4 linked regions of the Saccharomyces cerevisiae S288C genome follow. The gene in region 3 interacts genetically with the main gene of each other region. Each region holds a gene or a part of one and is shown on either strand. Other genes may lie near its edges. The genes, in order: MTG1, EDC2, RDL1 and CRP1.

The links.
Region 1: mutations in RDL1 (region 3) and MTG1 together harm fitness more than expected from each alone (negative genetic interaction), as found in Saccharomyces cerevisiae (one large-scale study listed by BioGRID).
Region 2: mutations in RDL1 (region 3) and EDC2 together harm fitness more than expected from each alone (negative genetic interaction), as found in Saccharomyces cerevisiae (2 studies listed by BioGRID).
Region 4: mutations in RDL1 (region 3) and CRP1 together harm fitness more than expected from each alone (negative genetic interaction), as found in Saccharomyces cerevisiae (one large-scale study listed by BioGRID).

What each region holds. Positions count from the first base shown.
Region 1 is NC_001145.3:458,907-462,348, forward strand, and holds MTG1 (putative GTPase MTG1), read right to left. Parts: upstream 1,622-3,442; coding exon 518-1,621; downstream 1-517. Other genes in the region: pyridoxine biosynthesis protein SNZ1, read left to right, coding at 1-395; ATP25 (Atp25p), read right to left, coding at 1,865-3,442. UniProt on the Saccharomyces cerevisiae protein: Mitochondrial GTPase involved in assembly of the large ribosomal subunit. Plays a role in expression of the mitochondrial translational machinery.
Region 2 is NC_001137.3:220,564-223,576, reverse strand, and holds EDC2 (Edc2p), read right to left. Parts: upstream 939-3,013; coding exon 501-938; downstream 1-500. Other genes in the region: ATP-binding cassette family ATPase ARB1, read left to right, coding at 1-210; YER034W (uncharacterized protein), read right to left, coding at 1,174-1,731; ZRG8 (Zrg8p), read left to right, coding at 2,290-3,013. UniProt on the Saccharomyces cerevisiae protein: mRNA-binding protein which stimulates mRNA decapping by DCP1 and DCP2.
Region 3 is NC_001147.6:847,668-850,622, forward strand, and holds RDL1 (thiosulfate sulfurtransferase RDL1), read left to right. Parts: upstream 1-1,967; coding exon 1,968-2,387; downstream 2,388-2,955. Other genes in the region: YOR283W (phosphoglycerate mutase), read left to right, coding at 1-478; HUA2 (Hua2p), read left to right, coding at 811-1,542; thiosulfate sulfurtransferase RDL2, read left to right, coding at 2,613-2,955. UniProt on the Saccharomyces cerevisiae protein: Thiosulfate:glutathione sulfurtransferase (TST) required to produce S-sulfanylglutathione (GSS(-)), a central intermediate in hydrogen sulfide metabolism.
Region 4 is NC_001140.6:388,414-392,197, reverse strand, and holds CRP1 (Crp1p), read right to left. Parts: upstream 1,899-3,784; coding exon 501-1,898; downstream 1-500. Other genes in the region: DCD1 (deoxycytidine monophosphate deaminase), read left to right, coding at 3,472-3,784.

The sequences.
Region 1 (3,442 bases), on a different chromosome or scaffold from region 3:
CAGAGGAGATAAAGGCGTGCCAACAATTGAAGAGCGAAGATGACATTGCAAAAGTTGCTGAGGAAATGAGGGTACCAGTTTCTTTGCTGAAAGATGTTTTAGAAAAAGGTAAGTTGCCAGTAGTAAATTTTGCTGCAGGTGGTGTAGCAACGCCAGCCGATGCCGCATTGTTAATGCAGTTGGGTTGTGATGGTGTGTTTGTTGGCTCAGGAATTTTTAAATCATCTAATCCTGTAAGGTTGGCCACTGCAGTAGTAGAGGCTACCACTCACTTTGACAATCCCAGCAAATTGTTGGAAGTATCTAGTGACTTAGGAGAGTTAATGGGTGGTGTATCAATCGAATCTATTAGTCATGCTTCCAATGGAGTAAGACTTTCCGAAATTGGGTGGTGATTTCTTTGAACAGGTATTTTGAGCATTATAACACTTTTTCCCCCCTCAACTTTGTATTACTCGGTACACATTGTAAAATGATCTAATTATTAGATAAGCTTATGTATGCTGGATATTATTTACTAGAATACTTGATTGGGGTTCCCTTTTAGTTTGTTAGACAATCCCTCATACGAAAGATCTCCTAACTTTTCCAATTGATCATTTACATAGTTTTTATAAGAAAACTCGTCATTATTCAACAGTACCTCAGGGTCAAATATGATACCCTTTCCATGCAACCTCCATTTGTTAGTCCACTCGATAGCCGTTGATTTTTCATTTTGGCTTTTATTCACTTGAAGCCTTCTTAAAACATCATATATATCATTTGTGGGAGAATTGGTGCTTCCAGGGTAAAGCTCTGTTCTTCCATCGTTCAAATTTTGCAAGTTCATTAGGTATAAAAGGTAATCCGCTTGAAATATTGGATCTACAAGGTTATTTTTAACACTACCACACAACGCCAGTCCTAGCATTCTATTATGATCTGAAACGCGACCGGGAACACCGATTCCTGGAGTATCTATCAAGTATATTTCATTTCTTGATTCCGTATTCCGTGAAGTTACTCTAATAACCTCGCTTGTGGCTCTAGTAACACCAGCTTCTGCACCAGTTTTGGCTACTTTCTTAAATTTTCTTCCCATATTCACTTGATTGTGAAAAATTGTCCTCAAGCTATTTATTAAAGTAGATTTTCCAACATTTGGCATGCCAGTAATCAATGCTCGGTATCCCATAGGTAGATATCCGCCATTTGTTTCTAGTTCGTAATTTTGCCATTCTAGTATTTTTAGTAGATTCCTGACGTCAGTTTTGTTTCGGCAATCCAGTAAAATAAACTTTTCTCCCAGCTCTTCATGCCAATTCTTTAACTTTCCTATATATGGCTTATTGCCGGGCATAAGATCCTTTCTAGTGTATACCACTAATTTCATCACATCGTGTTCCTTTCTTGCTATTCGATCGAAAACCACATTCCTTGTAGATAACGGGGCACGTATATCACGTAGTTCTATTATCATATTCATTTGAGGAAGCAACTTTTCAAATGTTTTAAGAGCTTTGACTTGGTGTCCCTTGAAATCAGTGAGAGGCATACTGTACTTTGGAAATTCATATCTTGGTGTGAAGGATGAAACGTTGGAAATTATTTTCCTAGTTCCTCTCACATTTATGTGCATTTCTGTATTTGATTTGGCTTTTTTGCATTCAGGTCTGAGTAATGAGCATTATCATTCGTTCTTTCTTCTCCTAATAACTAAACCAAATTGTTTCGAAAAGACAAAAATTGTGTACTTTTGACATGATGGTCCGTGTTCTTTGATCTGCGGCAAAATGAACCTACCATGTGGCAGAATTAAATATTTGATTCAAATATAAATAAGGCGAACGACGAGAGATTAAGATATTATATACAGGTAATACTATTGATTGTTTGTTCCACGGACTAGGAATTCTTCCAATGTGGAATTCTCCATTCCAGCGGTTTTTAATAACGCTTTAATGGAGTTGCATAACTCCGGAGTTACGTTAACATTTAAACGTCTGATCCATAGCAAATGACCATTATTTACGATTTTCGATATAACGTGACTATCACCGCTTTGATTGATAACATTTATAAATTCATTCCAGGGCCTTTTGTCCTGACCTTCCCCTTCCGTTGGTGTGATAGCTTCCCAGACTTGAAGTAGCTTATTCCAGTCTTTGATTTTGGCCAAGTTTTGCAATATTGAGACAATCATGCCTGAAGTCAACTTATCTCCAAATGTTTGGAAAATGTGGTCTATTGTCTCGTAGAGTGATCTCAATTTTACCCGTTCATCCGCGACCATGGAATTTAAAAGAAGGGATATTACCACTTCATCGTAAACAACTGAGCCATCGTCCTCTGTTTGTAGACCTTTAAATAGGTTCAAAGCTCTGATAATCACCCTATTTTGCTTTACTAGGTTAAAGTATGAATGACTAGAATGCTGCGTTTTCAAAACCATTTCTAAAAGAGCGATTAGATCTTCCCTTATTAACTCTTGCCCCAACGATTTTTTTAAAAGTAGATAATCCTTGAGGAAAACACGATCTGAATAAAATTGTGGGTCTGCTTTGTTTAGAAGTATCGCATATTCTAGTCGTAGTGGCCAATATGCAGCCGATTGATTTATGGTTAAAAAAGTTGAATGTTCGTCAAATAAGGACTTCCATTGAACAACATCTACTTTCCTCTCTTGTCCTACCAAATCCTTTAAAGTATTTTTAACATGCTCCAAAGTACGTATATTGTGAGTTTCAGTACCACTACTACTCTGAATTATCTTATTGGCTCCTTTGAAGTCTTCCTTTTGTAGAAAGTATCTTAAATTACTTAGCCCGTTTGGGTTGATAGTTGAATACCTTCTCCTTTGCTGGGCCAGTCTTCTTAGGCCTAAAAGAATATTATTGTTGCTTGAAATTTCATTTACCCCTGAAATAGTAGGGACATTACCTGAATCTATATTTTGGAACTTAGATTTCTCATTTTCAGGTGCATACAGCTCTTCTAAATTCAATTCATTACGCCTTCTCTGTGTCAAAATATTTACAAAAATACCATCGACACGACAATCAATCATATACCAAGCCTCACTATTTAAGTCTTTTGCAGAGCATTCAGAGCTTCTACCTAATAGTTTACTAAGGTTGGATTTTCTTGCTAATCTTCTTTTTCTTCTACTTTCTTGTCGCTCATTAAAGTTTCCTTCAACGTATGCACTACTACAGAATTCGTGCTTCAAAAACTTGTTCAACTCTAAGAAACTTTTATGACAATGTTTGGTAGATCTTGCTGTACATATGACCATGAAGTCACCCAACTTATTAACGGCTGAAACAGAGTTTGGGCTTTTCTTCCGTAAATCGAAAACCAGGAAGTCATCCAGACCAAGTTTACCAGTTAGGAGGTCTGCTATTTTTCTTAATGAGTTTGGAGAGGTTTTAGGTATCTCCAATTCTTTGTTCATCGTGTG
Region 2 (3,013 bases), on a different chromosome or scaffold from region 3:
CCTACCAATGGTTTGGATATCCCAACCATCGACTCCTTGGCCGACGCCATCAACGAATTTAACGGTGGTGTCGTCGTCGTTTCGCATGATTTCAGATTATTAGACAAAATTGCCCAAGATATTTTCGTTGTGGAAAACAAGACCGCTACCAGATGGGACGGATCCATTTTGCAATATAAGAACAAATTGGCCAAGAACGTTGTTTTGTAATTGTGAAGTTGATCTGCGCCGTGCACGTTTTTACTTCCCCTTTTATGTATTTTAATAGCAATAATTTATATAACTAATCAATCAATAAAGAAAGAAAATCACCGATAACAATGTGAAGGCAAGAAGATATAACAATGACTTCTCCGTATGTGTAAGAATATGAGGGTAATTGCGTAAAAATGTATATAAATGCCATCTTTATGAATAATCCGACCTAAATAAAACCCCAAAAAAAAAAATGAGAGCCCGCCCGCTCAAGTAGAAATAAAAAAATTTACAATCACAGCTACTCAAACAAAACTAGGTTTGGGTAGCGCTGCCTCATGTGGGATATCTGTTGTGAACGAAGCACCGGCAAAGGCCGTATGACCAGCTACGTGCGGTTTCGAATCGATCGACGCCGCCGCCCTATCCTGGTACTGTCTCGTTTTCTTCTTCTTGTATTTGCACGATTTTTTTTTAGGGGCCTTATCATGTAGGAAGGCATCTATGTTAACAGTGACCATCGTTGCCTTATCGTCCTCGTGTCCCGTCTTCGAGGTGCGTTCCCTAGGTTCTCGCCGCTGTTTTGTAGACTTACCGAAGTTTGGTTTCTTGCCATTGGGCAAACTCTGCGTCGGTGGAACTAATATTTGAGTTTTAGTGGGGCGCATGTGCTCCTTGGCGGAAGGAGGACTTTCCCTTGTGACAATCTTGACTTTTGCAGAATGTTTTGTCTCGGAACCCATTATGAGAGATATTTAATTTTGACTATTATAAAAACGTTTGTGTTTGAGTTTCTGTTAGTGTATAACTTTGTATGTAGTGACGTTATTGTCCGGTCTATCAGGAAGGTAATAGGGCACGGGAGGCCGTTGTTTTATAAGTACGGGCATAAGCCGCAAGAAAAAGAAACGTTAAGAACAAAGAAGAAAAAAAGGGGCGCTGATAATCTTTTCACGCAGTAACTGTCGTACCGCGCGATTAGAGCAGTCCATCAAGGAAATCCTGATCGGTCTCTAGTTCTTCCGGTAGATCGGTCGAAGGGGCACTGATCTTCTTGCCCGCACGATCATGATCACCTTGTACGTGAATGGGAACGACTAATGATTCGGGCTCAGCCGCTGTTATAGCCGATGTTGTATTCTGCCGTCCGAGCCAACGATTGAGCTCATCCGTATTCATCTGCTTGAGGTCTTTGATTTTCAAAGTATCTTTATTAGCAACATTATTGACGGCTGTGGCGTCGTCGTTCTGCTGGAGCCGATTTTTGAGGACGTCTTTTAGCACCTTGTTCAACTCTGCATTGGCGACTGCAGAATGCGGGTCCTCGAGTACCGGGTCCTCATAGTACCTGTCCTCGTTTGACTTCAGGGCGGGCTGTTCTTGGTCTTGATCTTTCTCCTCTGTGGTAGCTTTCTCTTCTTTTTGGCGGTTCAATAGCCGGTACTTTCTATCACTGGGTGTGGCATGTTTTCTTTTCAATTTCTGTTTATCTTGAAATTTTTTTCGATTATCCTTCTTTAAGCTGAATGCATCCATTGCGTTTTCAATTGTCTTGTTTTTTTTTTTGTTTTGCTCGTTTTAAGTAGAATAACGTTATTAGTTGTAGCATGTGCTCATCTCCATGAGGTTTCTCCTAATCACTTCCTTTCTTCTCCTTCACCCATACACCCGCCAGCTTTCTTCAATCCGGGTATCGGTTAAATGCAGAGTGCCTAAATGGGCTGCAGATTGACCACTTTGGGTTTTAAGCTTTTCTCCTGATCGCTTTATCCGGACATATTCTCTTAAACCGTTCTTCTACCCGTTTGGTAATACTTCATAAACACAATATGATATTGCTGAGAACGCATTTACGACTGCAAATCTACTATTGAAAACAATTTTAAACATCTGGTCCAATCCAAGGTTTAATAACTATCATTACTTGAGGTGCAACCGCTTTCTTGTACCTTAAATCTTAGCTGGTTATTTTCCTTTTTTTTTTTTTAGTTCCTTTAAGCCTATTTATTACCTTGCGTTTTCGCACAAACCAACTGTTTTTGCCCAAAAGGATCTGCATCACAAGACGCACACGCATAACTGGAATATTTCATCATGCGGTCTTTCATAAAAGCCCATAAGAAGTCCACGTCGTTTGATGAAAGCCCCAAGCGACATAGCAACTTCAGTGGCAATACTAATAATAGTTCTCAAAGGTCAAGTGATGACTCCTTAGACTTTCTACCATCTACACCATCACAAATGAATTACGATAGCATTCCACCACCCGCGAAACACTCACCTGGATTTGAGTCTTTCCATCGTTTGGCTAACAAGACTTCAAAGTTGTTCAAGAAAACTTCAAACTCAAACTTAAACTCGCATTTAGCTTCAACTCCAACCACAAGCACAAATCAGACTACTTCAAATTCATTTGTTCTCCAAAATCCACCCACAAAAAATACTGGACCTCCGCCGCCATTACCACCGCCGCTCTTTCCTTCCTCTTCTACCTCTTCCTTTTCACGTCATGACAATGAAAGTGAATATACTGCATATAAAAAAACTTCTCCTGCAAAAGATTTTAATAGAACCACAGACTCTCTGCCTGCTATTAAGGGCACAATTACTCATTCGTGGGGAGATTCCAAGGTCGAATCGCACGTAATAATATTAAACGATCCTGCTTCCCCAGCATCAAACACATCTGAAGCGACTTCTTCTAAACAATTCAAAACCCCTATCATTGGCAATGAAAATCTAACTTCAACTACATCACCATCTAACCTGGAACCTGCCATAAGAATATTGAACAAGAACAAGGGTAAACAGCAGGAAA
Region 3 (2,955 bases):
TTTAAAAAGGTGTAGGCAAACTACGGCTTTAGTTTTGAAACATTCAAAACAAGAAAATGTGCCTACTTCCTATACTTCGGGGTTAAGGGAGCGTTATATGGGTGTTATTGAAGGTATGCAGATTACTGAGGCTGAAAAGTATGCTGATAAACATGGTGAAGGCTCCTTTAGAAATTTTGGGGAAAAAAGTGACGATTTTGTTGCTAGGTTAACTGGATGTGTCGAAGAAGAAGTTGCTGAAGCATCTAATGAAGGTGTCAAGAATCTAGCCCTAGTTAGTCATGGAGGTGCTATCAGAATGATTTTACAATGGTTAAAGTATGAAAATCATCAAGCTCATAAGATCATTGTTTTCAACACCTCTGTCACTATAGTTGATTACGTCAAGGACTCCAAGCAGTTTATTGTGAGACGTGTCGGAAACACCCAACATCTTGGTGATGGCGAATTTGTCGTCAGTGACTTAAGATTACGTTAGACACTATATGGTTATTCACTGTTGGGTTTTTCTCATTTTGTATTAGAAATGCGGTTTAGGTAGTAATAGAAATTTCGCATGCGTGTATTTTATTTTAAAACATATAGTTCGTAAGGGTTTATCTAAATGCAGTAGATGTTCATAAATTATAGGGGTTTTATGTTTTTATATTATTGATATAGTTTTTCACATGAGATGAGAACGACGCGTTTATTTTAAAGGAAAGAAAACTGTGTCGTAATATGTAACAAGACTACATTGATACTCCATAGCAGAGAAATGGATATGTTCTGTCGGTGGTAAATTCAGGTGAATTGTATATCAGTGAAACTATGCAACAAACAAAATTTGGCAAGATGTATTTGGACCACGATTCGGTAGTTGAGTACTCAGAAGATGAAATTGTCGAAGCCGATCGTATTACATTGGGCTATAAAAAGAGATTGTCAATGATTGAAAATCAAATGCGACATCTTTTGGAGGATTTTAGTTTGGACGTTCAGCAGATTGAACCCATTCTTGCCGACTTGCAGAAGTACTACGACGCGTTTCTACAACTTTTACAGAAAAGGAACAAATCATTACAATGTAAGAGGTCCACTCACCAGCCGGTCCCATCCCCAATGAATAGCCAGACATCAACAAATGCAAAGGTTAATTTGAGCGGAAAGCTTATGAAGTTTCAGCTAAATAGTGTACAAAAGTTCGACGAAGAAAATATACTAAGGATTCTGCAAAATAAAATAGAATTCGAACATTATTTCCAAATTGATAAAGGTAAGAAGCAAAAGGTGCTATTACTTGCCGTATATCAATGCCTCAATGGGCCAACACGTTTGCATAAAGTGCTTAATATTGAGGGAATTATACATAATAATAGTATCAGAACTATACTGGGCAAACAAGTGTCCAGTTCTAAGTGGACAGTGTTTCTGTACGATGTAAAACTAGTTTTATTGGCGCATAGACAAGATGTTCCGAACTTAGAAACTAGCAAGATGATCGTCAGATATGGTGATTTATTTCCCTGTGCATTGTACTTCAAAGATCATACAGCATACTAAGCGCTTTCCAGGGACACCTTCTGTCGCAAAATATCAGAATTTTTCTTGATTAAACGCAGCATATTGAGTATATGAAATTAACGGGACACTGTGTGAAAAATTTGTAGTTGTACTTTTTTGTTATCCCCTTTGGTAGACATATGGACGAATTACTACTAAGATTGGCTTCCATAAGGCCCAAATCCAGATATCACCTACGGTATGTCCTTTTCCTACTTGCAATGACAAATAATTTGTTATTTATCTTGGAACCTATATAAGTTACATCTGATTGCTTTTGTATTTTTTTTGGAGAATATTATTACCCGCGGGGAAGGAAGTAAGGGGAGAATTTTTGAGGTGTATAAAAGAGAGTGGAGGCTTAATCAATCAAAGAATTCTTTCTCGTTTATTTTCAGGGTTTGTGACTAAGAAACGATATTAAAATGTGGAAGGCCGTGATGAATGCTTGGAATGGAACCGAGAGTCAAAGTAAGAATGTTTCAAATATTCAATCTTACAGTTTTGAAGACATGAAAAGAATCGTTGGAAAGCATGATCCTAATGTGGTTTTGGTAGATGTTAGAGAACCATCTGAGTACTCGATTGTTCATATTCCTGCTTCCATCAATGTGCCATATAGATCGCACCCTGACGCATTTGCCTTAGATCCTTTAGAATTTGAGAAACAGATTGGCATCCCAAAACCTGACAGTGCCAAGGAGCTAATATTTTATTGTGCTTCTGGCAAACGCGGGGGAGAAGCTCAAAAAGTCGCCTCCTCACATGGATATTCAAACACCTCACTATATCCTGGCTCTATGAATGATTGGGTTTCTCATGGGGGTGATAAACTTGACTTATAGCCTTGTATACTCTAGGTATGTACCCTGTGTATTTTCGTAAGCTAGTAACGTATTATGCCATTTATGTCACACCGTTCATAATATTTGCCTATTGCATTGGCTGTGATAGCGGCGGCGCAAAGAAATTAGGAAGTATAAAAAAAAAAATACAAAACTTAATCTGAATGGAATAAGATAGCGATAACTCTCAACAAATGGAAGCGAGACAGAAGAAAAAGACCAACGATGTTCAAGCATAGTACAGGTATTCTCTCGAGGACAGTTTCTGCAAGATCGCCTACATTGGTCCTGAGAACATTTACAACGAAGGCTCCAAAGATCTATACTTTTGACCAGGTCAGGAACCTAGTCGAACACCCCAATGATAAAAAACTATTGGTAGATGTAAGGGAACCCAAGGAAGTAAAGGATTACAAGATGCCAACTACAATAAATATTCCGGTGAATAGTGCCCCTGGCGCTCTTGGATTGCCCGAAAAGGAGTTTCACAAAGTTTTCCAATTTGCTAAACCACCTCACGATAAAGAATTGATTTTTCTTTGTGCGAAAGGAGTAAGAGCCAAAACTG
Region 4 (3,784 bases), on a different chromosome or scaffold from region 3:
GAAAACAAAAGAAAAGATCAAATAAGTGAGTAAATGAAATGCTGTACCTTCCAATTTCTCGAACTCTTTTGGAATTTCAGGGTATGGTGGACGATATTAATGTAAATTATGATTGCTCCCCTGCCAATTGGTATAGGATAAAGATAGACATATTAGGCATCAGAGGGGAGAAGCATTGCAACCAGATAAGATAAATCAAAGATTTTTACCTACAACTACTTATACTATTATTATACTATTATTATATTATTATTATATTATTATTATCATTACTACAACTGCTACTACTACTACTACTATTACTATTATTATTATTTGATATTTTTATTACTGCTATTATTATAATTTATTATTATTATTATTATTATTAATATTATTGCTATTATTAGTAATGTGTTAGCATTATTGCCAATATTAGTATTATACTTTCTTTCTTTTTTTTTTTAATTTTTTTCTTATATTTCTATGATTCGGCAACATGAGACCAATCCTTAGATAATTCACTTAAATAGCTTCTTCAATTTGCCGAAGAAACCAGTTTTCTTCTTCTTGGGCTCTTCTGTCGAAGAAGACAAAGGAGAAGCTGTCTGTTTCTTTGGGGCTTTTACAGTTTGTTTCTTAACCTCTTTGGCAGAAGGCTTTTTTTCTTTACTGGTTTCTGACCTCTTGACCTCTTTAGAGCCTTTTTCTTGCTTCTTTTTCTTTTCTTTTTCTTCTGACACTGCTGGTGATTTTCTACCTTCAGCTGTTTGCTCGTCAGTCAAGGGTAGCTTGGGAGCTTTGTTAACGATGGGGTCTAATGTAAAGACCTCTTCATCTTTTTTTGCCTTATTTTCTACTTTTTTGGAACCGTCTAATACACCTTCAGTGGACTCACGTTTCTCCACCAACTTAGATTGAAGAGACCCCTCCACTGGTTCAACTTTCGATGACTCAGGTATAGATATTTGTGCTTCCGGAGTTGGTAATGGTTCGGGCTCATTTATTAACGGAGTAACCGCTTCCACTTGAGGAGTAAGTTCCTGCACATTATGAGCCACTTCCTTGGTCTCAACAATCGGGTCGTCAGCTTGTGGAAGAGCAGGACTCTTTTCCGTAACTGATGATTCAACAATAGGGCCAGCAACGGGTTCTGGAACCTCTTCTTTTTTGTTAAGTCTTTCATTCAATTCCCTAGCATCAACGTCTCTAATTTCGGTAAATTCCTTGATTTCACCAGGGTTTGGGACAAGAACAGGACCTGGTCCACCAATTATACCATTTGATTGAGTTGTGTCTGCACTTTGATCGATTGGCAGAATATGGAAATTGCCCGGAGCTTCTTTGGAAACATTAGTAGGCTCCGCCAATGGAGTTTCTTCCCTAGAGGTTCCAGTAACATCTTCAGTAGTAGTTCCAGTCACCCCGTCTTCTTCTTCATTATCGTCTAAACTTTCATTTGACTTCTTGTTGTTCTTAGTACTCTTTTTCTTCAATTTAGATCTTCTTTTCTTATTGTTACGCTTGTTTTTCTTTCTATTACTTGTAGAAGGAGGACCTGCTGAACGAGGCGGTTTACCACATAATAGGCCACCTGCCTCCGGGATTCTACTGGCACCGGCAACTTCCTGCGTTTCAACTAAATCGGTAATTTGTAAGAAATTGTTTTCGATTCCTTCACTAACATGCTCCTTTTTATACGAATCACTAACGCACCAAACGCCATCCACAATAAACTTAAACTGAAACGTATCATCCTTGTTGGCTAGCTTCACGGGCATAGTAATTTCGAAATTTCCCTTGGCGGTCTTCACGAGGGGTAAAGTGCCCCTCCAGTCATCAAACGTTCCTGTTAAAATAACATCTTTTGGACCAGCAGGCCAGCTAAAAGTATAGTTGAACATGAGTTCACTACTCATTTTTATTGATAGATTAGTTTTCTTAGTGATTTTTGTATCTTTTATTTTGTAAGTACAAAAAACGTATCAGAAAATGATAAAACCTTGTTCAAATCCTTGTTTGTATTGTTTACCAGGCGATGAGATCGGGTTTCAACAATTTTAGCAACGCCACTTTTCCTAACGGGTAACACACCAAGATAAATGGCGTCAGAGCGTCTTTTTTATGCACAGAAAAACCAGTAGAACACATTAATTAATATTATAACTACATAGCATTTACTTGGGTTGAAATGGTGAAACCTTACCTGGAACTGCTTATTGAAGCATAGAAATAGGTGCACAGTGGAACCCAAAAAGTTTATCGGCAACTTTACCTTCAGTGTCTTGATAATAAGGCAAACGCTAGGGTCAATTGAAGAAGAATTTCTGTTAGGTAAATTAATAGTGTCATTGGTATTAGTAGAATATTACCCGTCGAAATAGAACCAACTATCGTCTATCGACTAATATTCATACTGCTAGTATATTATTATATCCAGTGTAAGAAGATGACTTTAAGATTGAAAAATAATCTTCATAATTTAATGGAAGCTGAAACGCAAAGATTGATAATGCAATAGGATGACGAATGACGACATAAAAAACGGAAGAAGAAATACCAGTAACATTATGTAGAATAGGAATTTCCTTTATCAATAGTCGGATCATAACGGTTGCATTAAAATTTGGGATATTGGTGAATAATTTGATAATTTTTGGCATTCTGTAATTGATAAAGCTATAACATCAAATACAGAATATATAAAAGTGTTGGAATAAAAATCAACTATCATCTACTAACTAGTATTTACGTTACTAGTATATTATCATATACGGTGTTAGAAGATGACGCAAATGATGAGAAATAGTCATCTAAATTAGTGGAAGCTGAAACGCAAGGATTGATAATGTAATAGGATCAATGAATATTAACATATAAAATGATGATAATAATATTTATAGAATTGTGTAGAATTGCAGATTCCCTTTTATGGATTCCTAAATCCTCGAGGAGAACTTCTAGTACATTCTACATACCTAATATTATTGCCTTATTAAAAATGGAATCCCAACAATTATCTCAAAATTCACCCACTCTTCAAAAAGACATTCTCCTCAAGAAATCCACAAAAAGGAATCAACAGTTACGCATAATAATATTTCTTTTCCTTCCTTCTTCTTCATATTTTGCCATTCTCCATCCAGTTGCATCTTTAAGATGCTCCCGTCTCTTTTTATGCCTACATAGTTTAATTCTTTATTTAGAACACCAACAGATACATGGGCGTGTGGTCTAGTGGTATGATTCTCGCTTTGGGCGACTTCCTGCCTAAACAGGAAGACAAAGCATGCGAGAGGCCCTGGGTTCAATTCCCAGCTCGCCCCATTATAATTTTTTCACTTTTTTGTTCTTTGCAAGAACGCGCGGTACGCAGTTATGAGATGATGTAGGCAATCTCGAGAATTGAAACTTCTGCATTACCATAGAATTCAACATCTTTTTTTGGCACATTAAAGGTGTGAATGCTACACTAATCAATATAACACGATTATGTTAATTGGTGTAAGTGGTACGAAATTTTGCGGATGCGAAGATGTTATTAACATGTTGGTTGATCATTTTCATTTTGAATTACTCAATCACCTAGATAATCCAGAGGAGATATTAGATTATGCTACGAAAAATTACACAAAAAATTCAGTTATATTCCTAGAAAAATTATCATTACTGGAGAAACTGGAAAAGAGACCATTTTTTGTTCATCTTTCTATCGACGCTCCTGTCACTACAAGGGTAGCATTATACAGGAAAACGACTCAAGCAGAAAGCTTATCATTAGAACAAATAATACAAGCCATTGATC